4 linked regions of the Mytilus edulis genome follow. The protein of the gene in region 2 purifies or fractionates together with the protein of the main gene of each other region. This does not show direct contact. Links are inferred from orthologs where the notes say so. Each region holds a gene or a part of one and is shown on either strand. Other genes may lie near its edges. The genes, in order: RNA-binding protein cabeza-like, putative pre-mRNA-splicing factor ATP-dependent RNA helicase PRP1, calcium homeostasis endoplasmic reticulum protein-like and U2 small nuclear ribonucleoprotein A'-like.

Region 1 (7,690 bases), on a different chromosome or scaffold from region 2:
ATCAGGAAAGACTATTGGTGACATGCAATTAAAAGTACAAGATGATCTCCAATGTGTTGAAAAATGGTGTCATGAAAATAGCATGTTCATAAATTCAGATAAGACGAAATGTATGGTTATAGGTACAAGACAAAGGCTGCGTTTAAATCAAGCAGATCCAGTTCTAACTATTGAGAATAATATTCTTCAAAAATCATCAATTGAAAAACTTTTAGGTGTTAGAATTGACTCTAATCTGTCCTGGACAGGCCATATTAATTACTTATGTTCATCAATTTCATCAAGAATTTTTTTACTCTCTAAAATCAAGAAATTTCTAAATATTGATCTAAGAAAATTATTTTATAATGGTTATATTCTCCCACTGATAGATTATTGTTGTATTATTTAGAGTGGTTGTGCTAAAAATGAGCTAGTCAGAATAATAAAATTGCAAAAAAGGGCTGCAAGACTTATTTTAGATGCTGATCCACTTTCATCATCCGCTCCACTGTTTAAACAGCTTGGATGGATGACAGTAGAGAACAGAATCTCATACCACAAATCTGTTTTGATGCATAAATGCCTTAAGAATGAAGCCCCTGTATATCTCACTGAAAAGTTTAAAGAAATGCCAGAAATAAACCAATGTCGTTTGAGAAATGCCTCTTGCAAAAATTTACAAGTTCCAAAAGCCAAAACAGAGCTTTATAAGAAATCTTTTATATATTCATGATCTGTTTTATGGAATAACTTACCAATATCCCTGAAAAAATCAACCTCAAGTACAAGCTCATTCAAAAAAGATTTAAAAAATTACTTGATGGAACATTAAGAAGCTGTGCATTTTTTATATGCATAATAATTTTCACACACTTACTCAAACTTATGATATTGTTGATGCCAATACTATACATGTCATATATGAATTTGTAACTTTTACCTGTTTTGAAAATTGTATATTTCATAACAATTTTTTATTCATTGTTCATGTATGTGTGTCTGTTTGATATTTTGTAATTGTTTGTTATATTTCATTGTATTTTATGAGGGCCTCAGGGAAGATTAGCTTTACAGCTAACTGTGTAACCCTCTTTAAATAAAGAATTATTATTATTATTATATTATCATAAACGTAGTCTACTGTGCTTGATTTTATCATTGTTTACGCATTTATATCGTATAATCGTCATTTTTTGTTCGCTCTGTCTGTTATAATGAGAAAATATGGCAGCTCGTTAAAAGAGGGACGAAGATACCAAAGGGACAGTCAAACTCAGAAATCTAAAATAAACTGACAACGCCATGGCTAAAAATGAAAAAGACAAACAGACAAACAATAGTACACATGACACAACATACAAAACTAAAAAATAAAGATCACGAACCCCATCGTCGTGTTTTGAAGCCGTAGTTACCGGTATCACCAGCCCAGCAGTCAGCACTTCGGTGTTGACATGAATATCAATTATATGGTCATTTTTTATAAATTTCCTGTTTACAAAACTTAGAATTTTTCGAAAAACTAAGAATTTTCTCATCCCCAGGAGTAGGTTACCTTAGCCGTATTTGGCACAACTTTTTGGGAATTTGGGTCCTCAATGCTCTTCCAACTTTGTATTTGTTTGGCTTTTTAAACATGCCAAGAAATCCTCGCTAAAAATTTCGGTCGACCCCCTACGGCAGTCATTAGTAGCTAAAGATTTGATTTCATTCAAGAAATTAATGTATGACCTTCATGTACGTGTCGCTTAGAACACGGTCGTATACCAAATGGTCAAAATTAATCATCCATGTAATTTGCTCTATGGGGTGTTTGCAGTATTTCAACGGAGGCAATTTCTTGGCAAGGGAGAAAGGAAGAAAGACCATTCACAATTTGTCTTATATTTGTTTTTCTCTTTTTTAATTAAATAAAAAAAATAATAAACCTTTCAAATGTACAGTTCATAAGATAAAAAATATTCCCTGTGGAACACCTCCCCCCCTTTTTTTGTGCTCTCTATGTTTAACCCTCGAATTAAGCTTTCCAATTAAAAATTAAAACCTTGCTTTCTAACCAATCTATTCATGTACCGGACCGGCAACTTTCTTTATTTAATACGAAAATCTACAGTGCCGTTATACACATGCATGTTGTTTGCTTGGAGTCCCTTCCCGAAAAGAAAGAAATAGCCAAACTCCAAAATACTATATTCCTGCATCACGTGATTTTTACCACGTGGAGCTTACATTTAAATAAATACCGAATATGGAAAGTGAAACTACAATTCAAAACATAAAATCCGAAGGCACAAATAAGAAAAAAGAAAGGTTTTTTTTGGCAAAGGGTGCCGGGGTAATTCTCTCGGTGTTCAAAATATACATGAAATATTTGCCACTGCCCCTTTTCTGTTCTATGAATTTTGACCCTGAGTTTTCTATCTGTTACGGTTTTGATCTGAGCGTCACTGGTGAGTCTTATGTAGACGAAACGCGCGTCTGGTGTATTAAAATATAATCCTGGTACCTTTGATAACTATTTACACCACTGGGTCGATTCCACTGCTGGTGGACGTTTCGTCCCCTAGGGTATCACCAGCCCAGTAGTCAGCACTTTAGTGTTGACATGAATATCAATTATATGGTCATTTTTATAAATTTCCCGTTTACAAAATTGAATTTTTCAAAAAAACTAAGGATTTTCTTACCCCCAGGAGTAGATTACCTTAGCCGTATTTAACACAACTTTTTGGAATTTTTGATCCTCAATGCTCTTCTAACTTTGTATTTGTTTGGCTTTTTAACTGTTTTGATCTGAGCGTCACTGATGACTTTTATGTAGACGAAACGCGAGTCTGGCGTATTAAATTATAATCCTGGTACCTTCGATAACTATTTACCGATTGTCACCTTAAAGTTGATAATCAACCAAAAAAAAACATGGATATTGAACACGTGCATAACATGTACAATCAGATAATTGTTTATTTTAGTGACAGATCCATGCGTATTGCGGTCACCGGATTTTTACGAGGAGGTTTACGCTCAGGTCACTATGCATACGGAAAATATGTCGGCGAATTGCTTACTGGAAGCAAGCAATTCAAAATAAGTAAACTTCTTCTAAATGTGGACAAATTAAAGAATTTTCCTCAGAAAAAAGAATATGTACATAAGTTGTATAATGAAAACTTTTTATAATTCTATTAAGTATGTATGCAAAAGTCCATTTATAGAAAAAAAAATATATGCGAAATCCTATATTTAAATAATAAAAGATTAACACCAGCGAGCCCCCATTAAGAACAAGAAATATATCTTTTGAATGATTAAAATTTAATAAATTTTCATTTATCAAGACTTATGAACAATTTCTGAGACTTAAAATGAATATATGTAATGAAAAGAAAACATTGCAAGATCTTTATCTTATACATTCAAACAATGGTCAACAAATAAATTGCGAATTTTTGAATTTTTGTCCTATCAAATTTCTGACTTTTATTTCCTGTGACTTTCTTCCCGTTTACATGCGCGTAGCTACGTTTACGTCAAAACGACCGGGATTACACTTGAATTTTTAAAATAAAATTAATTGAAACGCGCGTCTGGCATATATACAAAATTTAGTCCTGGTATCTATGATGAGTTTATTTAAGGACAAAACGTATTTCTTTCTGCACTTTATAAGTTTTCGATCATTTTTCTGTTCTTTTTTGATAGACAGATAGGCGGACTCTTCTTTACGAATGTTACGCAATTAATTGTTTTACATGCTCAATTTATAAACCTTCATAGATTATCGTGAAATATTCCAGATCAAGAAAAAAATATCAAAAGAAAATTTTAGTTTATTTTTTAAATCCCTTTAACATGTTTAAATGAATGATAAATTGATTTACTTTTTGTGGGAAGAAATCCTAGGTATTCCAGATTTTTTTTATATTGCACCTCTTAGAAATATTTTTTGTTTTCTCTGAAACCAATAACCATTAGGTTTGCTTCCAGTTTAACACGATGAATAGGTTAACATATTACAAAATTTAACAAAAACAAACAAACCATTTAGATACAAAAGTATGTTGCTATCAATGATTTTTTACTGACAGGAAGCATATATTACGGTATCTTATTCTCGATAGCTGTCGGGGGCTTCGTCCCTTTCGAACCCACTACCAGCAGGTGCTTTAACATTGAGCGGTTGTCACCCCTCATATCCCTCGTCAAGTTTCGGGCGTACACGTAAAAATGACCCAGCTACCGTCTTAATTCTTGCTAAAACGTAGCTAATTCGGAAATTAAAAAAGAGAATTTTGTTTTTGATGTCAATAATGACAATTGTTTACTTGTTTTTGATATTTATTTTAAGAAAGTCTTCTTAGATCAACTGAAAAATGGATAAACACATGAATTCGTACTAACACGCTTCACCACATGTCCCCTATGACACCCCTGTTTAAAACTGATTTTCCTTCCTATGGTGTGTTGCTCATAATTTGATTAGAAACTAGTTGCGCATGCTCACAAAAAGAAATTGAGGTCTGCAACAGGATAATGAAAAGATAAATGTCGAACTGATAAGTTTCTGTTGTCGCATAAATTGATTATTGTTGCAATAAATTATAGAAATTTAAGTACTGAAGAACACAAGTTAAATATTTACCAATTGATATGTAAAATCTATATATTTCTCACAAAATCTAAAAGTTCTTAAAAAAATTGTATGGTCACATGGTTCCTTAAACACACGCGGTCTATACCACGTGACTCTTGCACAAAAACGAACAGACAATGGCGGATGCAAGTCGTAAGAAAACACTCTTTTTACCCTTAAATTATTGTTTTAGCTCAAGAAATGCTTTGTAAAGTCATCCCTGTGTCCCATATTTATGTTGTTAGACGATGATAGATATAATTGTATTGGGCGATACCAGTATTTAGCTCAAATCATGGTAAATTGCCGTAACAAGTCAACATTTCGCACAAAAATGCCGGCATCGCACCGGGCGTTAATGAAGCCAATTGAAACACAATGTTATGTTAAGACGCAGCACTTACAAATTAATTAACTTGCATTATGAAAAAGATGATGCATTGATGGACCTCAATCGAGATGTAAAACTAGAAAGCCGGTCTAAATGTATTATAAAATCAATTGAAAAGTTTTCTGAAATTAAAAAAAAATGTAAGGAAAAAAAACGAGCTGACATTAAGTCTTATAGTAGTCCGAGATTACTCTGACGTCCAACGGCTGTTTTGCTGGGGCCATGGGACGTCAGAGCTTGTCCCGTATCAAAAAGTGGATATTTGCCCACCCAAAATAAATGCGCAGCTTGTCACGTCTGGTGCCGACTGATGGCCTTGGAATTATATAAATCAGGCATCAATCTGTTCATTTTTCATTTATGTCTTCATTTATGTAAGTTTCACCTACCTGCCAACCTTTATTTTCTCATAATTATACAGTTTTCACAGTGACCCATTGATTTCCTCATTTTGCCTTTCATTTTCAAAGATTATCACATGACCACATGAAAACAGTGATGATTTATGCAAATGACCATAATGTAACACCTCGTTTATTTACGATGCAAGTTATCTAAATGTCCGAGAGCTTCCGACTGTAACATGGTCGGAACTAAATGCTTAATACCGATCTCCTGTAAAGGAGGTGAAGTATCATGGCTGGCTACTAAATGTTAAACATCTATTTCCTTTAAAGGAGGTTAAAAAATATAAATATTTGCATATTTTGAGTCTTGAGGCCACGAACTCTTAGTAACTTGATGTCCATTTAATATTAGTCTGGAATTATTCAACTAGAAAATCCTTGTTGGTGTGAGGTGTTTCAATATCTTTAATATCGCACTTCTGATGTTGAATTTCATTACCAGCATGGATGAAGGGGTTGAATAAAATAAAATAATAATGAATAAAGTCCAACTAGAACTAGTAATCGTGCTTATAAGTTATGGTTAAGTTAAGTTGAAGGTAATATTGTCCATATCTGACTATCAAAAGTCAGTCATTGGCTCAGTTTAAATTTAAAATTGTTTAAATTAATAACAAGCAAAAATGATGGGGCACTGTGATAAGTGTCCAAATTTGAAAATAAAGGGTGGCAGATAGACGATTCGAAACTTGCATAAATTAAGTGATAAATGAATATTCAATAATGAACAAATTGAGACCAGATTTATATGGATCCAATGCCCTCAGACAGCTCCAGAAGCTAGGAAGCAGTGCATGTATTTTGAACAGGGTAACATCAACTTTTTGAAATTGGACAAGCTCAGACATACCATGGCCCCAGCTTTGGATGTCAGAGAATAGGCTTGGTGACATCAAGAAATTTTGTAATGTTTAGTAACACATTTTTTTCACACCAAACCAAACAATGCTTTTTCAGTCATGAAATGAATAAACAAGTTCAGTTATATATAGAAATAAGGCATTCAGACCATTATATTCCTCTGAGAGTATACCATCATTTCGCAAAAAGAAATGTTACAATCACAGCATTAAAAAAGCTGAATTTGGGGTTCACAATCTTGCGTTGTTTTGATCGGTTGCCCACAGATTACACTGGGTCAGTGGGAGTATTACATGTAGATGGATCATATATGGACCATAATTTGCTATTGGGCTCCGTTTCCTATAACTATAGAAAAGTGATAAAATGTGAATTACTGTAAGAAAAGTTGTAACTACATCTAAAGATGCCATTATTTTTATCAACATACAAGTGTATGCTACTCTTCCCTAGAAAAAAAATTGAAATTAACAAATTTCAAAGATTATACGACCGTATTTGTGTGTCGTTTCTCGCGTTACTTTTCACGTCCGAAGTGCATAACGCTGACTAATTTATAGATAATCGTCACCGGCAAATTCGTAATTTTTGCATTAAAATAACAAAGAACATCGACCAATAAGAATAGTGAGAAGAAAATGCCGAGAACTATAAGTATTTCTGTAGCAGGTGTAAGAACACTGTCGTTATTTTGGTTTCCCATTTCGTAATGCACATTTTAGATGGTTTAATCTGCTTTGTTGTAAAAGAATTCTTTGCAACAATATGCAAATACGAACTCTCGCGAGATGTTCAAACAGGTAAATGATTTAAAAAATCAGAGATGATTTACATTCTTGTTTTGTTCTTCGTAATAATTAAGTTAGAAAATGACGTTATCGTTATGCGTTACATTTCACACGAAACAGAAGTCCATTTATTTATTAAAATTGTTTTTGTCGTTAAGTTCTAATCATTTCAGGTCATACGTGAAACATGTGACTAACATGTGATCACGCCCTTACAGCCGGATATACGAAATACTAGGTCTAAACATTGTATTTGTTTCCAACGGGATGTAAGCAAACATAATCTGTAGGCTTGTTTCGTCTTGTTTAAAAAAGGAAAATACAATTTTCAAAGAGATTGCGCTGGGGGTCTATTATTTTTCCTATGTGCATAATGTTACATACGATCTTGTGTGAAAATAAATGCCCAATGACTTGACAAAATCGATTTCAGATTTGACCAACGTTTTAACACACTTCGTTTCCCAATAACGATGTAAAGGGTCCTTGGAAAATTCAATCGAAATTACGTCTCTTATCATGGTGCCGATGTTCGTTGGATTGATTTAGCTTCAACAGTAAATATTACTGGATATTTTAGGTGAATAAAGATAATTTAATAAAAAATACATGTTAATGTACCGTTACA
Region 2 (7,608 bases):
ATTTATTTTGAATCCAGAAAAAAAACATTAGATCAAAACTGTTTTTTAGCTTAACTAATGCGTATTTTAGGGGTCATTATAAACTTTGCAATATATATTTTGATAAGACAGAAAACACAAAAAGAGGTAATTGTGTATAACTGATTAAGAATTATTGAAATCAATATAAAATCTTCAACATGTTCATTTTTTTTCTCAACAGGACTTGGAAAGTTGTCAAAGACTACTTATAGTTTAAGAAAAATAGACCAAAACACAAAAACTTAACACTGTGCAATGAACTGTGCAATTGAAGTCATGGTCAAATAAAACCTGCGGGACTGACATATAGATCATAATATATTTCCATACACCAAATATAGTTGACCTTTGGCATATAATATTAGATAAAAAGACCAAAACTTAAAAACTTAACTTTGACCACTGAACCATGAAAATGAGGTCAAGGTCAAATGACATCTGCCAGTTGGACATGTACACATACCAGTCCTTCCATACACCAAATATACTAACCCTATTGCTTATAGTATCTGAGATATGGACTTGACCACCCTAACTTAACCTTGTTCACTGATCCATGAAATGAGGTCGAGGTCAAGTGAATACTGTCTGACGGGCATGAGGACCTTGCAAGGTACGCACATACCAAATATAGTTATCCTATTACTTATAATAAGAGAGAATTCAACATTACAAAAATTCTGAACTTTTTTTTCAAGTGGTCACTGAACCATGAAAATGAGGTCAAGGACATTGGACATGTGACTGACGGAAACTTCGTAACATGAGGCATCTATATACAAAGTATGAAGCATCCAAGTCTTTCACCTTCTAAAATGTAAAGCTTTTAAGAAGTTAGCTAACGTCGCCGCCGGATCACTATCCCTATGTCGAGCTTTCTGCAACAAAAGTTGATAGATTATTTAAACAAGAATATTATAAAGAACATTATTTAAGTTTTCATGTGCCAGGAAAATATAAAAGTGCCTTTGCTAAATTTCGATGTGGTGTGGCGCCGATTAGAATTGAAACAGGCAGATATGAAGGGGTTTTAAGTGAAAATAGATTTTGTTTTAATGATTCATGTATGCAACAGAAACTCATTGAAGATGAGAAACATGTTTTACCCAAATGCCCTTTATATTCACAGGCAAGACAAGAGGTTTTTTACTAGAGCAGTTTCTTTTAATATTGATTTTTTAGACTTAAATGATGATGAAAAATTTATATTTTTATTTACAAATGAAAATTTGTGCTTTTATTCTGCCAAAATCTGCCATGATATTTTAATTCAAAGGAAGAATGTTTTATATAGATAAAAAATGTTTTGTATTTTTATCGAGCTGTCCTTTTTTTATGTAAAAGTCTCTCATAACTCTTTTGAGAGTGGCTCTCGAATGTTTTTAAGATTGTTTTGTACTTTTAATTAAAACATGTTGTATATATTGTATTCATGTTTGTAATGTATCATCTCGTATTGTGTTTTCGACCGTCTGACGTTTTCGACCTAATTCTACTTTCACTTTTCGTATGCTGCGCATGCCTGCATGAGGTCATATTCGGCTGCTATACTTAGTAACAATAGCAAATGATACCATGTGGGGTGAAGATTTTTCAAATAAAGTTATTATATTAAGTATTTACGTTTTTTTAGAGGTCTTTTTGCATGCAAAGTTAACTTCAAGGTCATTAAGTCACATGACTGTCAGGTGGTTAGTTTTTATACTTAAAGTTAATTTGAATACAGAAATACGCATGCTCCTTACAGCTTTTTACCAAAAAATAAAATATCAGTTCAATTTTATTTACAGAAAAAACAGTGTCAGTGGAAATGGAAATTACAGACAATACTCACCAACCTCACTTCACAATGGATAAACCAAAGTATTTAAAAAAAACAAGAATGTATACAAGACCATACAAGGCTTCCAAAGTGCCTCATTCTAAAATGTGTACAACTTGTCCAAAAAAGACATCAAAATAATATTTTATATCTTATACATTTTGTACATGTAGTTGTATATTTAACCATTTAATTCTTTAAGTCATAAGTTAGATCGCCTCTAACACTTTGATATAAACTTTGGTATCAAATTTATAACCAATTCCGGATATGTACGAGATGTCGTTTCTGACTTTAGACTCGTTTTTTTATAGATAGGTCAAAAACACAAGACCCTTGTTTTTGTCAACAAAGGTGCCATCGATCTAATGAACTCAAATGAAATTAATTAAAGATCGAAATATATTTCCGATACAATTATTTTATGCACAAGTATACTAGCGACTCTCAAAATATTAGGTATGTCTATGGTCAAACATATAACAGGGAATTCAGAAAAATGTTAGAAGGTCGAAAATACAATACACGAGGATACATGTAGAGAGGTGAGACTATAATAAAATATTTGATTTGATTTTTACAATCATTTCATATAAAATTGTCATTTCATATGTTAATTTCATTATGCATTTATATATGTGACACCTTTAATTAAAGATTAATCACCTATATGTATTTGTTTATTTAAAAAAACACAACACTGGTACAATACTGGAAAACAATACTGGTACAAAGTTTTTATACCAGTATTGTGCACAATACTAGTATACCAGTATTGAGATCACCAACTACAGGAGATCCTAAAAGACTTCAGGGACAGTCCCTCCCTCTGACAAGTACTGAAAAGATTTATGAAGAAAAGGGGGGATAAATTATGTCCGATTCGGCATGCGTTGTGCGCTACTGTGGAAATGTTCAATTAATAGTGTTATAGGTATTCTACAGTTAGAGAAATGAAACAAGACAAATGTGTGTCTTAATAAATTGAATGAGGCAAAGGCTGCCATGACTTTACAGCTGTCATACCTTGTGCGTTTTGGCAAAGAGTCGCCAACGTCGATTCTGTGTCTTTTCGACATTTTGTTGTTACCCTGTATATTGCAGTATGGCAAATGACGTCATTCGGACATTTGATTTTACAACAAAACTCAACGAAAACCCAAGAGAGATAAGAATGACTTTATAGTCACGCTTGAATAAATAAAAGTTCTGTCAGACTTAAGGTAAAGGAAGCACATGTTTTTTGTACTTCCGGTAAAATCAAAACAAGCAAGACGATGTCAGAACCAGATGAGGACAAAACCTTGAATTTCCATGAGATGGGGTTGGATGACAGAATTTTAAAGGTGCACATGATAATAAGCAATAAGGTTATATGTGATATGAAATATTAGATCGCACCTCTATGATTAATTAAAAATTTTATCAAACTTATAATATGTCACTTCAAATTTGTTATAATCACATTCACAGAAGGGTACAGAATGTATATGGGGTAATACAAAATGGTGACCATTGCATTCCCATATTCACAAACCTTATAGAACACTTCACATCAAATAAATCGCTCTTATTTTGGTCATTCTATATGACTGGACATCTCTGTCTTTATTTTAATATTTTGCTTAAAATACTGTGATCTGTTTGAAAATTATGCATTTTTGTAGTGCAACTGACAGGTTCTTGGTGTTTTCTATCTATGCTGTGTGCTACATGTTCATTGAGATACAACAGATTATTTTAACATCACTTGACTAGCTACAGACTCGAAGCTTGACAATGCATCTCTGTGATGTTTGCAATGTTGATGATTTTCATTTATCCAAGAAAATAATTTTTGTCATTTATCACAATGTTTATTTTTAGTTTGAACCCATACCAAAATTAAGCTTATATAAAGACCAATTTATTAGTTTATAATCATGATTATTACTGGAGCTGGTATGTTTGTGAAAAACATTAGTACAATGTATCCTTATTTATAGATAATTTTTCCTCTTTCTATTTTGAAATTATGTACTGTTTGATCTTGGTTTGGCACAAAATTATAAGTGTCTTCAATTCCTGTGCTTATTATGGATTTGTTGTATGAAATCTTTTATGAAGAGTGCACTGTGTAACAGCAGATAGAGTTTGGAGGGATATCCCATTGTTTACCAATAGGTTAGTATTGAATTAATTTATATTTTACGCTTACAGGCAATTGCAAATTTAGGCTGGGCAACACCAACACCAATTCAGGAAAAAGCAATCCCTCTGGCTTTAGAAGGAAAAGACATTTTGGCAAGGGCTAGGACTGGATCTGGTAAAACAGCAGCATTCTCCATTCCTGTGGTTCAAAAAATATTACAGTCTAAACAGGTAATAATAATACTACTAGGGATTATTATTATTTGTTTGATACCAGTTTTCGTGGGTACAGGTTAACCACAAATTAAAATTTTCAACAAGCTTTTTATTTGGTGGTATACAGACTTTGGCAAAACCACGAAATCACATATTTACGAAAAGGCAAGTTTTTCGGCAATCCACGAAAATTGGTACCCACAAAAGTAAATGAATCCACAGTACTTTGAAATCTATGTTTAATCTAACATGTCACATGTTCAAATACAAAGCAAATAAAGCATAACAACTGACTCGAGTTAAATATTTTTGATATACAATGTGATGAAATAAGATATACTCTGATGTTAGTGTGAGTAAAACAATGCATACTAGTACACTGAATATTTTCCATTTTTCTTTGAAATGGAAAATTGTTTTACTCTGAATATGTAGTATGGAACATAATCATTTTGCATTCTCTTGAACTGAGAAATAGATAAAATACTGTATGTAATGTATTTAGAAATATTAATTATTTTCAGTAAAGGTCAATTAATCATCATGTTTTCGTCATTGATAAATTAAACTATATATAACCATATCTGAAGTTTCATAAGGACATCAAACAAATTTCCAAAATGCATTGTGTTGCAAGTATTTTTTTACAGATATGAATACTGTATGTACTACAAATAGTTTTGCAGAAAGTACATTTTCTCAATTTCTCTCTAGACCAGTAAAGAACAGTGTACAAAAGCTCTTTTCCTGACCCCTTCTAAGGAACTATGTCACCAAGCATATAAAAATCTTATGGTACGTATATATTGTATTTAAAGAGTTACTTGTAACATTAGTGTACATACTTATGGTTAGTATATATTGTTTTATACAGTTACATGTAAAATTAGTGTACATGTACATATATAAAAATCTTATGGTTAGTGTACAATTTAACTAATGTGACATTTACATTTATCTCTATAAATACAATGTATACTATACATTGTATTTATAGAGATAAATGTAAATGTCACATTAGTTAAATGTAACATTAGTGTATATGCACATGTGACATTAGTGTACATGTACATGTATCTTGATGATCTCTCTTTAAACCTACTCATAGATAGCACAAAAAATTAACATAAGGTAGATGGTGGGACAAAATTAATCATGTAACAAAAGTCTTTAGAAAAAGAGAGAGGTACATGTATTAAATTACATTTCTACAGTTTTGGTTTCTTGGACATTCTTGATACACCAACATTACAGAGCTTTCTCGCTAATAATCAGAAAATAAGTTGCATGTTATGCATAAGAATATAGTATTGAGGTCATGTATTTATGAAAACATGTATTATGAACTAGTATACATATTTGTTTAGGGGCCAGCTTAAGGACTCCTCTGGAGCAGGAGTTTCTCGCTGTATTGATGACCAATTGGTGGCCTTCGGCTGTTGTCTACTCTATGGTTGGGTTGTTTTCTCTTTGACACATTCCCCATTTCCTTTCTTAATTTTATTATGTCAATTTTGCATTCATATTAGTTTTATTTAAAGTTGGTACATATGAATTTATAGTATTTGGATATAGAAATATTTCATTAGTACATGTATTTGATTTCTACTCTCTGTTTCAGGAATTGACATCATGTTGTTCCAGAGAAATAAAATGTGTTGATGTTTCGCCAAAAGTTCCACTGCTTACACAAAGGTAACATCACAAATGATAGTGATCTTATTGAGTAACAAAAAAAACCATCAGAAAGACAGAAACTAAGTGTACTTTAACCTATAATAGTTTACTATTATAAATTGTTACTTGGATGGAGAGTTGTCTCATTGGCACTCATACCACATGTTCATATATCTATCAAACAGCAACATATATGTAAAGGAAAGGTACACATTAATGAAAACAAGTTGTATATGTTCATTGAACACCATGCCTGGCTGACAAATAAAAATGTTTTATCATGGTTAGAACATCTACAATGTACAAGGTGTTGAATAAGTTACTTCTTTCTCTCTTGTAAAAATAAGAAGATACGAAGATGGCAATCAAAAATCATAAATTGAAAAAGACAAACAACACCACATCCAAAAGTAAAAAGATGTAAAGTCAAACATTAGTCTACAAAATGCTGCACAGGAAACTAAGATTACACTACACAAACCCTACAAAATAGAACAGAGAGTACTCTAGGACTCTGCAAGGTTAAGCAGTTCCCTTACTAGAAAGAGTCATGGTTGGTAGAAACACCAAATGCTGCCAAAAGATTACATGTATTAGCATACATAATGGCAACATTGAACTATTTTATCTGTTGTTTTGCCCACTCTGTTAAGTAATATTGCACAACATATAAACTTATATGCATTTAGAATAATGTAAGATTTATCTATATTTTGACAGACCCAAATTGATGGAGAAACCCGATATAGTTGTTGGTACACCTACACGTATCCTGGCACACATACAGGCTGGTAATCTCAGTATCAAAGACACCTTGGAGATGCTTGTGATAGATGAAGCCGATCTGGTTTTCTCTTTTGGCTATGAGGATGATGTTAAAGCTATCATAAAGTAAATTTTTAGTTATTTGTCTCAAACCCTCATATGCTCTTTGAGGACTTTAATATGTTAGGCCCTTGCATGAGTTATAGCTTACACCAAATATTTGTTTCAGATTTTATTTGTTAAGACAAACTGATGTTTGCCCCTCTCTCTCATAGTTATAAACAACAAGTTACGTAAGGTTTCCTCTATTTTCTTCATCGTCTTTGAATGATATAACATTCTGTTGAGCAGTAATTTTAAGCTTTCTTGTACATTTTGTTTAATGATCTTTAATGATATAGAAAAAAGAGATGTAAAAACTGCAAAATCAAACTCTGATGTATTTCATCACAAGTATCACTATATCAGAGAATAATAAAGGTCTGTTATGGCAACTTCAAATATTATAAGACAAATATTTTCAATAAACTGTGATCGAAATAGCATAACAACATGGGAATAATAATGTTGTTTATGTTTTTGACTGAATAGAACATCATTTTAGAGGAAACTTATACCATTGTAGAAGTCTTAGTAATATAGTCACGATTTTAAATAAAGAAATTGTATTTGTATTTCAGACAACTGCCAAAGATATATCAAGCTTTCCTTATGTCAGCTACGCTCAGTGATGATGTATTAAGTTTGAAGAAATTAGTTCTTCATAATGCAGTAAGTTGTATAATGTAGATATGTAATTTATATTTTTTATGTCAACTTGCTTCTTGCTTCTAACTCTTTGTTTTCTAAGGCATTGGAATATCATTGCTTTCGATTAAATTGTACTCTTTAGTAAAAAAAAAAATTCTCAAATTGTAAGCAAAATTTGTTTTCATATGTAGAATTGCTGTACTTTTTAGTCAAAAAAGGGTTCTCAA
Region 3 (7,875 bases), on a different chromosome or scaffold from region 2:
AAAGACAATGTTAACATAACGTTATGAGTATCCCTGAAACTAAACCTTTCAACAAAATATTATTGATCTTCTATACACAAACATACATAGAAATAAGTATTGATAGGATTTATCTCCCTTTATTTTAGATTAACATGACATACTTATCATTGTGGAAAAATAAAATTTCTTTCTTTATAAAAATGGATTTCCACTACAAGATCGTGTTGTTTTTATTTTTTTTGTAGGTGGTATTTACATGATATATAATGTACCAAATCCTACATCCATACTCGACACTTTTATACACAACACATTCTTACAATGGACAAAATACAAAATAGCACACACATTCAATACATGTATAAAATCTGTCAAGTTAAGCACTCAAAAAATAACACAACCAGAACAATAACTGATATCAAATGAGTTTGGTCTTTGTCTCAGATACTTATGCCACAACTAGATGAATGAGAGCTTGGCAATGAACAACCACTGTCGCTACTGTCCTCAGTAATTTCACTTAAATTGTTTGGTTTCCTGGCCATTGTACGTCTTTTAGCCAGTCCTGAACTTGGTGGAGACAGTTTGAAACTTGGTATATTAAACTTGTCATCATCATCACCACTTTCATATGCATCACAGTCAAAATCGTCCCTCCCACCAATAAAGAAATTGGGAGGCTCCGAAATCAAAAGATGTTGCTGCATCATTCTGTTGATTGAGACTGCTTCTCCAGCAAAACATTCCAGATCTTTTGTACTGTTGTTTCTGCAATATAAATAAGAGTCCAATGTATAACAGATAAAAGCTTTCATGTTTTCATCTTAAACAAAATTAAATGTCATGCAAAGTAAGACTTTAAAGAAATGATGCTTATTTCAAGCTTATCAAACACTAGTGTAAATTTATTTGCTTCAACAGTCATATTTCCGTCTCAATTTAATGTAACAGTTATAGTGTAAAAAACAAGACATTACATTGTTAACAATGTAAACAGGAAAAGCATCAAGTGGTCACATACTTTATCTGATGTATACAGGAAATTACGTTTTATTACATCCCACCAACATACAGTTCTTAATATGGAAATGTACACGACTTGTAGTAAAATAAAGCATACCTTGTAAGAATACCAGGAGTAGCCAATGGGGTAGGTGCTGCAGGACATGTGATCCATGGATGTTGTAGAACCTCCAAAGCTGTCAGCCTCTTCCTGGGTTCACGGACTAGTAATTTCTGAATGAGATCTTTGACATCGTTGGATACATCTCCCCATTCATTGTCAGGGAATTCAAACATGCCATCCTGAATTCTAGTGAACAAGGTCTCTTGACATGACTGACAGGCTTCACCTCTTTCCCAGCCACAGTCACCACCACATTGTCCATAGAATGGAGGATAACCACATAACATAATATACCTGAAACACAAAATTCATTTCTAGGTTACTCATTTTGAATTTCACTATTTAGCAATATTTAAGCACTAATCAATATCATCTTTCTAAATTATGTAAATGAAAGTTTTGAGTCTATGCTATTCAACAAGAAAATTACGAAGGAACACATTGAAAAGATTCATCTGGATAAATTAACACCTGAAAATTTTGCTATTTTTTTCTTTTTTTTAAAACCAAAATAGTAAAGAACTTACAATATAATTCCTAAGCTCCACAGGTCACATTTCTTATCATATGAGAATGATTCTCCAACCCAAGCATCAACAACTTCTGGTGCCATGTACTCGACAGAACCTACAGGTGTAAGAAGTTCTGGTGTTGTACAATTGTCTTCTGTCTGGCTACCTGGTACCCCACTAGCCAAATCAAAGTCACAGATACGTATTGGGACTACTTCATCAGTTCTCTCGCATAAAATATTATCTGGTTTGAGATCTCTGTGTGCAATGCCTTAAAAAATAATAAATAAGATCATATTAATTTGTGCTTGGAAAAATGTTCCTTTGTAGATTATCATTATATACAGAATATGCTAAAAACAATCATGAAATTTGATGCTCCTACTGCAAAATGTATAATGTATGGTTTTTTTTCTTCTTTGCTTTTTATGCCAATAGGTATCTTTACAACAAAGTAACTAAAATAACATTTTTTTTCTTCAAATAAATGTCAATCTATTAAGAGACATTAATTTAAGATAAATGCTGGAAAACTAGGACACTTCCACACTGAAGTATAATTATTTTTTTTATATATATATTTACCTTTTTGGTGAAGAAAGTTCAAAGCTATGGCTATCTGTTTGACTACAAGTGCAGCCTCTCTCTCACATAGGTGGCCTCTTCTTTCAATATTGGCAAGTAATGTTCCGCCTTTCATCTTTTCAAATACCAAATAAAATCTGTCCTCTTCTTCAAAGTATTCAAATAGTTGTAAAATATTATCCTGGCCTTGACAAATACTGAAAATCTCTATCTCTTTAAAAACCTTATTTCTTGATCTGGTAAAATCTTTTTCAATAACCTGCAAAATAAAATGATTTCATATAACATTTTTAACTTTCTTGATACATGTAGGTATTGTTTATTTATATTCATATTTTTAATTTTTGTAATATTCAACTGTATTTATACAAAATTCATAGTTTCTACTTATCACTGGTCATCACAAAAATGTGTTATTTGTTTCATTGATAATAAAAATATATATTTTGAAATTACCTTAACAGCATATTCTTTGTTCGTTGTGTTTTTTTTGTAGGTTTTAACAGCAGCACATGCTCCATTTCCAAGAATTTCTCCAGTTGCTGTATACAGATCTGTTAAAAAGAAGAATATTAAATGATTGATTCATACCATAAATACATATACAAACAGTAATGAACAATATCATTACATTGTTCAATAATAAAAACTTATTAAAAGGTCATGACATCTTCATTAGTGTTTCACATTGAATTAACCCACAAATATTATTAAACTTTTCAAGTTGTGTTTTCCCAAAAATACCATGAACCTTCTCACTTCAACTGCAAGAAAACAAATAAAAAAGTTACCTTCAAATTTTTTAACAGAGTTGTCAGCAGCCCTCCTTTTTTTCTTTTTATTTCTTGTTCTGATATTCATAGAGCATGGGCCGTTGTTGTTTTCCGAGTCTGCCAATTCCATATCCAAGTTTGTCATTATACTTTCGAACATTAAACTTTCTGGTCGTGGTGGTGATTGTGAGCAATACTTTGACTTTTGGTCGATCTGAAATAAAATGATACATTCACAATAAAATTTCATTCATATCTTTAAGTTCTACCAAACTAAATCCCAATCATCAATATAATATGAAAATCAGATAATAGGTTCAATTTACATGTTCAGAAATAAACACTTCAAAAATACCTTCTTCAACTGAGCATTGAAAATCATACTCCTCTGTTGTAAACCCTTTCACCATACTGACAAGACATTCACAAATCCATTCCTACTCTATTGGTTTTTCAAAATGAAATGGATTTCACCAAATCATTGCAATAGTAACAGTTGCATCATAAAAGTTTATTTATAAAAGCCAAATTTACTGGTAAAGTATATTTTAAGTAGTTGAGCTAAGGAATCTAAAATTAGAACTGCTTTGTTAAACCAGCCAATCAGAATGCTAGTTGATTAAGTCATTCTATGGTTTAGGATTTTCCATTTGGGCAATCCGCCAAAATATCAGTAAATACCTAAGAATATTCCAGACCTCTGACAAATTTTAAGAGTTAAATATTTAATTATCATCTATATTCATGATAATGTTTTGCTTTCTGATAAACATTTACTGTTTAGAAAACTCAGTTATGCTTAACATGTAATTGTGTCAACAAAGAAGTGGGTCATCTTCAAAATATTTACATTTCATACATAATCAATATCCATGGCCTTCATGTAAAGATTACAGTGAAATTAAAAGTAAATTTGAAATCAACATAATAGACAATATCTATAAAACTGTTAATAGTTTGTGACAAATATAAATTTTAATATAAACAATAGATGTAAATAACAAAAAAAAATATCTACTGGAAGAACTGGAATTATGCATGAAAATAATTGCAAACACCCTGAGGCAACACCAGAGTATTAAATTGTAAAATTTCAGAAAATAAGACCAAGTCAACAATATTTTGCAAAAATATTCAATGTTTTTAATTGTGGAAGAACAAATGATTGCAAAAAATAATTCTACTTACATCGATCATTTTAAATGCTGATAAAATTCCTTTTTAAATAAAACTGATTATTTCCTGATTATATTCCGACAAAATTTGTAAAATCCAATATTTCTAAACCGGTAAATGGTCATTAGACCTGAATAATTTTGATCACCCTTTCATTTCAACACACTCTCAATAAACATTCAAGACTGAAAAAGTTTACGTCAGCCAAGCTATTTATACTAGCACAGCTACGTGGCTCAACGTTGACTGGTTGACTCAACGATATGTGACCCCAGTCTACGTACGCAGTTCCACGCAATTTTGTTTACATCCGTCTCACAACAATGTCGGCCATGTTTACTATGGCGTGACCTACAAACAATGCAAATTTCTAAATTTCTGGTGTTAAATACAATAACAGCATTTGATATCAATCAAAATCAATCTTTTATTCATGATTAAAAGAAACCTTCTTAGTATCTCAATGCAACTTACTTCTATCATGACGCTTTTTGTATTAGAACTTTCAAGCATCCTCCCGCCGCTGTCACCATTTTCTCAAAACAATCAGTCGGAGATTTACGGAAGAATAATGAAAATTAATTTTTGAAATTAATTTCTAGAAAGCATCACTTTTTGTTTAAAAGTTAATGAAAAAGTTAACTTACGCAAAAAATATATATATAAAAATAAGATTTTTAAAAGTTGTAAAATTTAAGTCTTATAAACGTTTTAATAATCATAATTCAGCATATTTAAAGAGAGATAATTTTGAACATTGAATATTTATTTTTCTCACGTTTTGTGTGTAGAAAAAAATGGATATTCCACCAAATCATCCTGACGGTAAGTTTATGTATAGTTTTGTAGAAGCAAATTTTTGTTTGTTAAATAGCTTGTTTGTACAGATATTGATATGTGCAATTGTATTTATCTTAATTCTCAATAAATCATGATATTGAAAAGGTAAACACTGTCTTACTCAAGGGTTTGTTACTGTTAGTCTAAAGTTGCTGTCATGTCTAAATTTTCGACCTTTTTGGGGTTCATTTATGGTTAGTATGGAGGTTTTTCTTAGTCAGGTATATGTGTTGTGATCATTGATATGGTCAGTTTAGTATTTTGCTTACTGTTTCAATGTTTGGGGAGATAACATGATTAAGGTTTATGACCCCTTCTGTAGCCATTTTTGTACGAATATTTCAAACTTCAATTGTATCAAAACTACAGATGTAATGAATAAAAGAGGGGAAACTTGATGCAAAGCATTATTATTTATTGTTTCATTGCATTTAATAGAAAAAGAGTACTTTATGGCAAATAATCCAAGATTTTTATAGAAAATCCACAGCCTTTAATACAGAGATTTTTGTTATAAAATTTGAAACATAGATTACGCACTTGCTTTTCTATGATGTGCTGGTGTTTATTTTTTACAAAAAGTTCTAATCAACCTGCAAATTCCAAAATACCTCGTGCTGTCCGAGTCACTAAAGTCAAATGTACCCTAAAAGGTGAACTTGATTTGGTCCATATTTTAATTTGTTTTAACCAATAGCTACATTAATAAACTCATTTTAAGGAAATCAATGCTGTCACTGCATGCAATAATCTTATATCTTTCAGTCATGACATTGCCAAATATGATGGTACAAGGATAAATGCTGTGGATTTTCTATAAAATTTCCATATGTTTAGCATTTAATCAACACAAGGGACCATAATCCTTAACTGACAAAATTTGAATCCTTTAGCTTTCAATAAATTAAAACATAGAACACTGAAGCAAACACTCTTCTTTTTGTCAGATTGAGACACCTAAACCTTCGCAAAAGATAATGTACTTGTGTGTCTCCCTATTTTCCTTTCTTACAAAATGTATATCAAATATAAAGGATTAATTGCTTCAATCAACTTGAAACTTTGTACAAATGTTCCCTATGATATGATCCTTCTAATTTTAATGCCAAATTAGAGTTTTTACCCCAATTTCTTATTCCACTGAACATAAAAAATGATAGTGTGAGTGGGGCATCCTTGTACTATTGACACATTCTTGTTTTAAAATATTTTGTTTATTTGTGCTCACTTGTAATTGTAACTATATTTTGAATCACTGAAAACACAAATTTATAGTGCAAAATTCAATAATTAATCAATTACAGTCTATATGAATTAATAAATGTTATTTATATATCAGTAAAATATTCATTGCAATTCAATTTCTTGTGTTTTGGCATGGACTTTATTATATCAGTACACTGCAGTACAGTTTTGGATTTTTTTTCTCTGATCCTAAACCCTTTATACATGTACATGTAAAAATGTATATGGAATTTTTCTCAGATTACAATGGCATTGCACATCCTTTTTATTTTAATCTATTGGAAATGTGTAATTTAGTTTTGTTAGTTTGGTCACAGTTCATTCAGCTTCTATTCTCATTTATCTTCAAATATTATTGGAATATGTTTAATACCTTCTAACCAAAGTCTCAAATGTCTTCTAATTGAAACTATAAATCATAAGAAATTTTAATAATCCTCAGTTTCCTAAAGGATGAAAAACTTTCGTTTCATTTTGTGATTTTAAAGTTGAGGAGTTTTACCAGATGTTTTCAACAATACCATTGTTTTTAACATTTTTATTTAATGACTATTTTTTTCCTTTCAGAACTTGAATTAAAAAATATTATAGACAAATTGGCAAGCTTTGTTGCTCGAAATGGACCCGAATTTGAACAGATGACAAAACAGAAACAAAAAGACAATCCTAAATTCTCTTTTCTTTTTGGTGGAGAACACTATAACTATTATAAATTTAAAGGTAAGTTGATACATAGGTTAAGAGCAATTGTGTTGTTATTAGAAAAAGTCTCTTGAATAAGAACTTATCAATTTGTTAAATCTGTCATAGAACAATCAGTAAAATATATATTTTCTCAAAGAAAACTGACTGAATGCAAATTTTAAAAAAACTCAACATTATTTATAGAACAGTTTGATGTCAAATGCCAAAACAACAAATTGAACAGGTCTTTCTAGAATTTTATTCCAGATACATAATTTATAATGAAGTCAATGTATTTTTGTATAATTAAACATAGAATTATTAATAAATATCTTTTGTTTTGTTTTGTTAATCCAAAACTGTTAGAATTAAAACTGTAGATCGCATAGATCAAAGAACTTTATTATTTTTCACAGGTTTAGGAAAAGTTATATAACAGGTGAAAGAACTCTTTTTGTTATATTCTTAGTCCATTTTAATTCCCCCTAGGACTTCCTCTTTATGCATTTATTTGAAGAGATCAGAAATCTTTTGAAGATTGCATTAGTTTAATTATTTGATCTCTCATGAGAATTATCGAATTGATAAAGGTCAGACAAAAATATGGGTTAATCCTTTGATAACATGAAAAACAAAGCCTTGTTTATTTGAGATATATAATTGGAAATAATTTTCACACCATGATAGACATAATTTGTTAATTAATCTATTGATATTGACACCTCTCTTAATTACTTGTTGATTTCACTCTAAGGGTGTCATCTCAGAGGGAGTATGAAAACATCTAGAATTAGTAAAAAGGGAAATATTAAAAAATATGCAAATGATATTATAAGACTAAAAACATTTTTAGAGTAAATAGCATTTGACTTTAATATAAATTAATAGTTTTCTTAGAAGTTGTGTTCATATTTAAAAGAAAATAGAATACAATAAAAATATCATTTTTTTT
Region 4 (6,841 bases), on a different chromosome or scaffold from region 2:
TTAGATGACATCGCATTTGCTGTTCATATTTATATTCTTCAGCTATTTTCTTCATTGAATTCGTATAAACCCCATCCTTATACAATAATACCGCTTCCGTGAATTAAGCAACTCAAGTATTTGACAGTACAGAAAGTAAGCATACCAGGAAAGCTGTATTTGATTGATTGGTTTATTCATATTTCAAACAGCAATCTATTTGGTTGGCTTCCAATCATACAATAGTAAAAATAAACCATACGAAACAACCCAGTATATTCATCCCACCTTAGTCAGATATATCTGTTGATTAAAAATTGCAGGGGTGATTACAGACCGAATAAATCGTTTGCTTTATCGAAAAAGCTTAAGTTTTTTTATAATGTTTCATTTTACACTTTTGGTAGAAGATGTGGTATGATTGCTAATGAAACAATCGTCTCCACCAGAGACCAAGTAACGTTGAAAGTAACATATATATGCTACAGTCAACATACGGCCTTCAACAATGAACTAAATTCATTCTGCATAGTAAGCTTATTTCCAGTAAGAGTTATATATATTTTCCATTCAATCTCTAAACGTCCTCTTGATAGCAGTTTTCAACATACTTTTCAATATGTCCATGTTATTGTATCTTTTCCTTTAAAAATGTTTACGCGGATATGCATATTTCATATATACATTGCTCATTAATTTCAAAGTATTTTCATTTTTCTAAACATTCAACTGTAATGTTGACCTAATGATGAGATATGTCATCTTGATTTCAAAATTACATTTTTAGACAATATGAAAATGTTCAAAAAGATTTTGTTTTGGTTCATATTTCAAATACATTGTTGTATAAAAAAAAATGTCATAAAAAGGAAACATCTACCTACCCAATTTAGCATACACCACGACAGACGGCATAATGAGAATGTACTGTCTCCCTTTTTATCACATGAATATCTTTACATCCTTTAACAGTTAGCAATGACTTTTTAAGTTACTACTTCCATATGTAGGGTTAAACAAATACTCAATATCTTAAGATGTCACTTTGGTCGAGGAAGATATGACTTTACAAAATACCTGTAACGTATATCCAAGCAACTTCGATTTCATAGTATCTTATATCATTGAAAAATTGAATAAGGTGAATTTTGGCTTTTGATCGGAGTCGATACCTTTACACAGGTTAGCAGCATACCTGGGAACTACTATAGCAACAACCCATTGATCTCTTTACCAAATTATCTGATCATATGTTCGCAAATTTGAATAGTTTAATTGATACGGTTATCTAAACAAGACATTTAGTAATCTACAATATCACAAATATAGAATTATTAAGTGCAAATTAATTATCAAATAGTGAAAAGAACTTGAATACGAATACTATATGGATAACTTTGAATTTAAATTTTGATTTTTAATATTTCAATAATAAATTATATTTGAACCAAGAAATTATGAAGGGTCATAAGGAATACTGATCGATGATATTGATTCGTCAAGACAAAATTGCTTAGGTGTTAACGTGTTGACGTTTGATTTTTGTGATAACTGTAACCTTTAAATTTATTGTTTTAAATTCAACACTTATAATTGAATAGTTGAAGAACGAACACACTATATTTAGTTAATATAAATAAACGCTGGATAATTAGACTAGTCACAAATTTTGATTTGTAGATACTTTTGAGGGTATCTTTAGATTCCTTAGAATTATATCATTTTCACGTACGGTGCTGACGACTCGTATGGAACGCCGTAGCTGTCTTTATGTGTTAAATCTTATGCCATGATATATGCATTATGAGTGCCAATGAGACAACTCTCCATCCGAGTCACAATTTGTAAAAGTAAATCATTATAGGTCAACATACGGTCTTCAACACGGAGCCTTGGCTCACACCGAACAGCAAGCCAAAAGGCCCCAAAAATGACTAATGTGAAACCATTTAAACAGGAAAACCAACGGTCTAATCTATATAAAAAACGAGAAACGAGAAACACTTATGAACCACAGGCCAGTAGCCAGAAATTTCGAAGGGGGTCGATATATATGGCAAGCCGTTTTACTATTTCTTCGAATTTCAAGATATCTCCTATTATATATAAGATATCTCCTATTATATATAAGATATCTACTTTAATATATAAGATATCTAAAATAATTTAATTTTTATAGGATATCTCATATATTATATAAGATATCTTTAATGTTATATGAGATATCTTTAATGTTATATAAGATATCTTTAATGTCATATAAGATATCTCATAAAGTTTATATGATATCATATATACTTCATAAGATATCTTATATAGTTTATGAGATATCTCAAAAAGACAATTATATAAGATATCTGATAAACTATATAAGATATCTTATAAACTATATAAGATATCTTATAAACTATATAAGATATCTTATAAACTATATAAGATATCTTATAAACTATTTAAGATATCTTATAAACTATATAAGATATCTTATAAACTATACAAGATATCTTATAAACTTTAGGATATATCTTATAAACTTTAGGATATATCTTATAAACCTTAGGAGATATCTTATAAACTAAATAAGATATCTCCTATAATATATAAGATATCTTATATCATTTCATTTCTATGAGATATCTTATATATTATATGAAATATCTTAAATATTATATTACACTAAATAGGCCAAGTTAACATTAAATAACAAAAAAAATCATTACAAATTATCTCAACAGGTCAAAATAACACGAAAGTACGATTCGAGAGTATTCGCAGTTACGGAAAGCTAAAACAGTTACTGAACACCAAAACAAATTAATGATAAAAAAATCATGCACCAGGAAGTAAAATCAACTAAAACACATCCCAGAGATTTAGTAATTTAAGGTTTATGACCCCTTCTGTTGCCATGTGAACAACAAGCATCATTATTTATTGTCCATTGCATTTATTGAATAGAAAAATAGGATTTTGTGATAAATAAAACCAAGATTTTAATAATACAAAGATTTTTCGTATGAAATTTTAAGCATAGATCACTCACTTGTGTTTCTATGATTTACTAGCGTTTATTGTTTATAGAAAAGTCATAAATAAACCTGATTATTAAAAAAAAAAATTGTGCTGATTCACATGTTAAACTTGAGTCGAGCGCACCATATATAACATTCATATACATGTACTTGTTTTAAGGAAATCATTGCTAGCACTGCATGCAATAATCCTCTATCTATCAAGCACCGAATTGCCAAAATTAAGAGTACGAGGAGGGAAGGCTGTCACGGGATTTTCTTATAAATTCTCATATGTTTCGTTTAACATTGATACAACACAAGGGTACATAATCCTTAACGTCATTATGAGTGGCCGTTCATGTCATTTGCGTGATAATATACGCGTATATAATCGCGCAAATGACACGAACGGCCACTCATACGCCGTCACGGTCATGAACAGACTGATAATGAAAAATGTCTAATGTGAAATATAGATAGAGTAATCTCGATATAAAAAATGAACGTCAGTGGATGTGTATTTATGACATTTATACATCACAAAAAAACGTTTGAAAAGAATACTTTTTACTAGTTTATTTAATGAATTTGAGCCTCGGTTGTTAAAGTATGTTTAGATTTTGAAGCACTATGACATATTAAAATTTAACCTCTTATGGGGGATTTTCTTGAGTCACAAATCTGTGAATTTTACCACATTTGAAACAGAGACTTTTTATACTAATTTAAAGAAAGTTAGTATAGGAAGGCTCTGCTTGAATCTACGAAAAACTCAGTTCCAGTTTCCGGATACTATACATGGCTGATCGCATTAGTTTTTCAAATTAAACTACTTCCACAATCGCATGCGCACATGAACAGACGCATGGCGTACTAAATCTAAATAAAACTAAATAAAAAGACTAAAACACCATGGTTAAGTTAACAGCTGAATTGATTGAACAATCTGCACAATATACAAACCCAGTTCGAGATAGAGAACTTGATCTCAGAGGTAAACTGACTGTCTCGAATCGTAAAAGATCACAATGACAGAGTTTGTCAAAAACACAACAAAATAATATAATTTTTCATAACTTAAACTTGGCTAATCAGTATTTTGTTAAGGCAGTTTAGTTTTTGCGAATGTATCTTTTTGAAACGTAGATTCATGCAAAATTGGTCGGAGTAGATTCTTCTGGTTTTGATATATTTCTTGTGTAAACAATGATAGGAGTTTGAAATCCTATCAATAAGGGGGTAAAAATATACCAAAGTCGACTATCACAGTAGAGCTTCTCTCGAAAATATACTGTGATAGTCGACTTTGGTATATTTTTACCCCCTTATTGATAGGATTTCAAACTCCTGTGAAACAATATACATACTCCACACCAAAAATATCGTCTCATAACTAAATCGTCTCACTTTTTCATCAAATCGCCACACTTTTAAAAATTATCTCCCCACTTAAAATGGACACACACTGGCCTACAAACTCTCCCAACTTATATAAAAAGGATTAAATCCTGTTAAATATAATCCTGGAGAATATATATATGTTTAAATTTTTTGCGCCTGTCCCAAGTCAGGAGCCTCTGGCCTTTGTTAGTCTTGTATTATTTTAATTTTAGTTTCTTGTGTACAATTTGGAAATTAGTATGGCGTTCATTATCACTGAACTAGTATATATTTGTTTAGGGGCCAGTTGAAGGACGCCTCCGGGTGCATGAATTTCTCGCTACATTGAAGACCTGTTGGTGACCTTCTGCTGTTGTTTTTTTCTATGGTCGGGTTGTTGTCTCTTTGGCACATTCCCCATTTCCATTCTCAATTTTATTAAAGGTCAGCCAACTCACCCCACTGATGAAAACTTATCTATGGTATGCCATAGTACTGAATCTTACTGCTGAATCTTTCTTTGTCCTTTAGGACAACCTCTTGGTAGAGTACAATATTAATATAACCCTCCACTATCCAGAATTATCAATATCATACAAATATGTATAATTTATATACAAGTCCGCACTGGGTGATTTAGTTGTGTGGTCTTGTTTCTAGTCCTGATATTTCATTTAGTATTTTGTTTTGTGTTATCATGCCACTGCTTGTGTTATTGACTTATTGTGCAAAGTTTGCACTGCAAACCTATCATAACAAAATAAAATTATGTGAACATATGTGAACAATGATTATCCACTTATTCTGTAAAACAGTGATTATATTATAAACCAGGAAAAAACCCCATCATAAACAGTTACAATAGTCAATTACATCGTCCTTCACAGAAACACTAATTCATCTTTCTGCTTTCTTTCAACCAAAAGAAAAGAGTTTAAAAAAACTAAGATGCATTTCTAAGGTATTCATAACCATTTTATTAAATTTAACAGTTGGGCGTGTTGGCAAACCTATAATGCTATGAGAATGAGTTCTTTTTCATGAATGTAAGAACAGTCTTTACTAGCGTAGTAGACTGTCCTTATAAGTCGGACAAGATGGCATGAATAAATAAATCATGGTTTTTCTATTTTTAATAACTGGGTAGAACAGCAGACCTTTTTTTCAGCGTGATTTGTTAACCTTTCCTCCATTGAATTTTTTTGTTTGCATACCTGATTCGCATAAGGATTTCTCAATAAAATGCTAAAAATATGCTTTAAAGTATTAATGCATTGCGAAAAAACAAATAATTCATCAAATAAATTAAAGTCGGATATTCCTACGATATTCCTTTTCATATTGGATACAAATTTTATTAAGTCTACTGCAGACACTTTGTAGTCAAAGCGTTTCAACTGAGGTACTACACAGGCATCAAAAGGCGTCATTATGGAGTAAAGGGGGTGGCGTCAAAATGATGATTTATTTATCACTTTTTAATTTATCAACATAGTTTCTGACCAGTGGAAATGTTACATTAGAGGACAATGACCCAACATACATGTACTCTTCTCTTTTAAGTCTCACATCTTTTGCCTATCAGTTTCTTAGAATTCTATGAGAATGCATTCTTTTTCATGAATGTAAGAACAGTCTTTACTAGCGTAGTAGACTGTCTTTAATAAGTGGGACAACATGGCATGAATAAATAAATCATGGTTTTTCTATTTTTATGCCCCACCTACGATAGTAGAGGGGCATTATGTTTTCTAGGGGCATTATGTTTTCTGGTCTGTGCGTCTGTTCGTCTGTCTGTTCGTTTGTCCGTTCGTCTGTTCGTTCGTCCGTCTGTCCCGCTTCAGGTTAAAGTTTTTGGTCAAGGTAGTTTTTGATGAAGTTGAAGTCCAATCAACTTGAAACTTAGTACACATGTTCCTTATGATATGATCTTTCTAATTTTAAAGCCAAATTAAACTTTTGACCCCAATTTCACGGTCCACTGAACATAGAAAATGAAAGTGCATGTTTCAGGTTAAAGTTTTTGGTCAAGGTAGTTTTTGATGAAGTTGAAGTCCAATCAACTTGAAACTTAGTACACATGTTCCCTATGATATTATCTTTCTAATTTTAATGCCTAATTATATTTTTTATCCAATTTCATGGTCCATTGAACATGGAAAATGATAGTGCGAGTGGGGCATCCGTGTACTTTGGACACATTCTCGTTAATAACTGGGGTAGACCAGCAGACCTTTTATTCAGCGTGATTTGTTAAATGATGATTTATTTATCGCTTTTTAGTTTATCAACATAGTTTCTGATGAGTGGAAATGTTACATTAGAGGACAATGACCCAACATACACTTTCTCTTTTAAGTCAAACGACTTTTTCCTATCAGTTTCATAAAGAGAAGCAACTTTTCCTCATGATCATGATGATACTGAAGAGGTTACGATCATTTGTCAATAGTCTTTACTGTATTTTA

What was found.
Region 1: the proteins of putative pre-mRNA-splicing factor ATP-dependent RNA helicase PRP1 (region 2) and RNA-binding protein cabeza-like purify together in Homo sapiens (affinity purification with mass spectrometry; 4 studies listed by BioGRID and IntAct, with this or other methods). This does not show direct contact. The link is inferred for Mytilus edulis from reciprocal best matches to the Homo sapiens genes DHX15 and FUS.
Region 3: the proteins of putative pre-mRNA-splicing factor ATP-dependent RNA helicase PRP1 (region 2) and calcium homeostasis endoplasmic reticulum protein-like purify together in Homo sapiens (co-immunoprecipitation; 3 studies listed by BioGRID and IntAct, with this or other methods). This does not show direct contact. The link is inferred for Mytilus edulis from reciprocal best matches to the Homo sapiens genes DHX15 and CHERP.
Region 4: the proteins of putative pre-mRNA-splicing factor ATP-dependent RNA helicase PRP1 (region 2) and U2 small nuclear ribonucleoprotein A'-like fractionate together in Homo sapiens (co-fractionation; 3 studies listed by BioGRID and IntAct, with this or other methods). This does not show direct contact. The link is inferred for Mytilus edulis from reciprocal best matches to the Homo sapiens genes DHX15 and SNRPA1.

The regions. Positions count from the first base shown.
Region 1 is NC_092349.1:8,782,459-8,790,148, forward strand, and holds the start of RNA-binding protein cabeza-like, read left to right. Parts: upstream 1-4,675; 5' UTR 4,676-4,752; coding exon 4,753-4,768; intron 4,769-7,690. UniProt on the Homo sapiens protein: DNA/RNA-binding protein that plays a role in various cellular processes such as transcription regulation, RNA splicing, RNA transport, DNA repair and damage response. Binds to ssRNA containing the consensus sequence 5'-AGGUAA-3'.
Region 2 is NC_092347.1:43,277,120-43,284,727, reverse strand, and holds the start of putative pre-mRNA-splicing factor ATP-dependent RNA helicase PRP1, read right to left. Parts: upstream 3,009-7,608; 5' UTR 2,923-3,008; coding exon 2,870-2,922; intron 1-2,869. Other genes in the region: probable ATP-dependent RNA helicase DDX56, read left to right, coding at 3,121-3,189, 4,043-4,204, 4,904-4,984, 5,811-5,884, 6,587-6,757, 7,312-7,402.
Region 3 is NC_092344.1:19,672,808-19,680,682, reverse strand, and holds the start of calcium homeostasis endoplasmic reticulum protein-like, read left to right. Parts: upstream 1-4,862; 5' UTR 4,863-4,951; coding exon 4,952-4,979; intron 4,980-6,806; coding exon 6,807-6,959; intron 6,960-7,875. Other genes in the region: MAP kinase-interacting serine/threonine-protein kinase 1-like, read right to left, coding at 423-750, 1,103-1,402, 1,636-1,891, 2,206-2,464, 2,662-2,759, 2,997-3,192, 4,629-4,667. UniProt on the Homo sapiens protein: Involved in calcium homeostasis, growth and proliferation.
Region 4 is NC_092344.1:117,059,715-117,066,555, reverse strand, and holds the start of U2 small nuclear ribonucleoprotein A'-like, read left to right. Parts: upstream 1-3,824; 5' UTR 3,825-3,905; coding exon 3,906-3,987; intron 3,988-6,841. Other genes in the region: regulator of G-protein signaling 22-like, read right to left, coding at 864-894. UniProt on the Homo sapiens protein: Involved in pre-mRNA splicing as component of the spliceosome. Associated with sn-RNP U2, where it contributes to the binding of stem loop IV of U2 snRNA.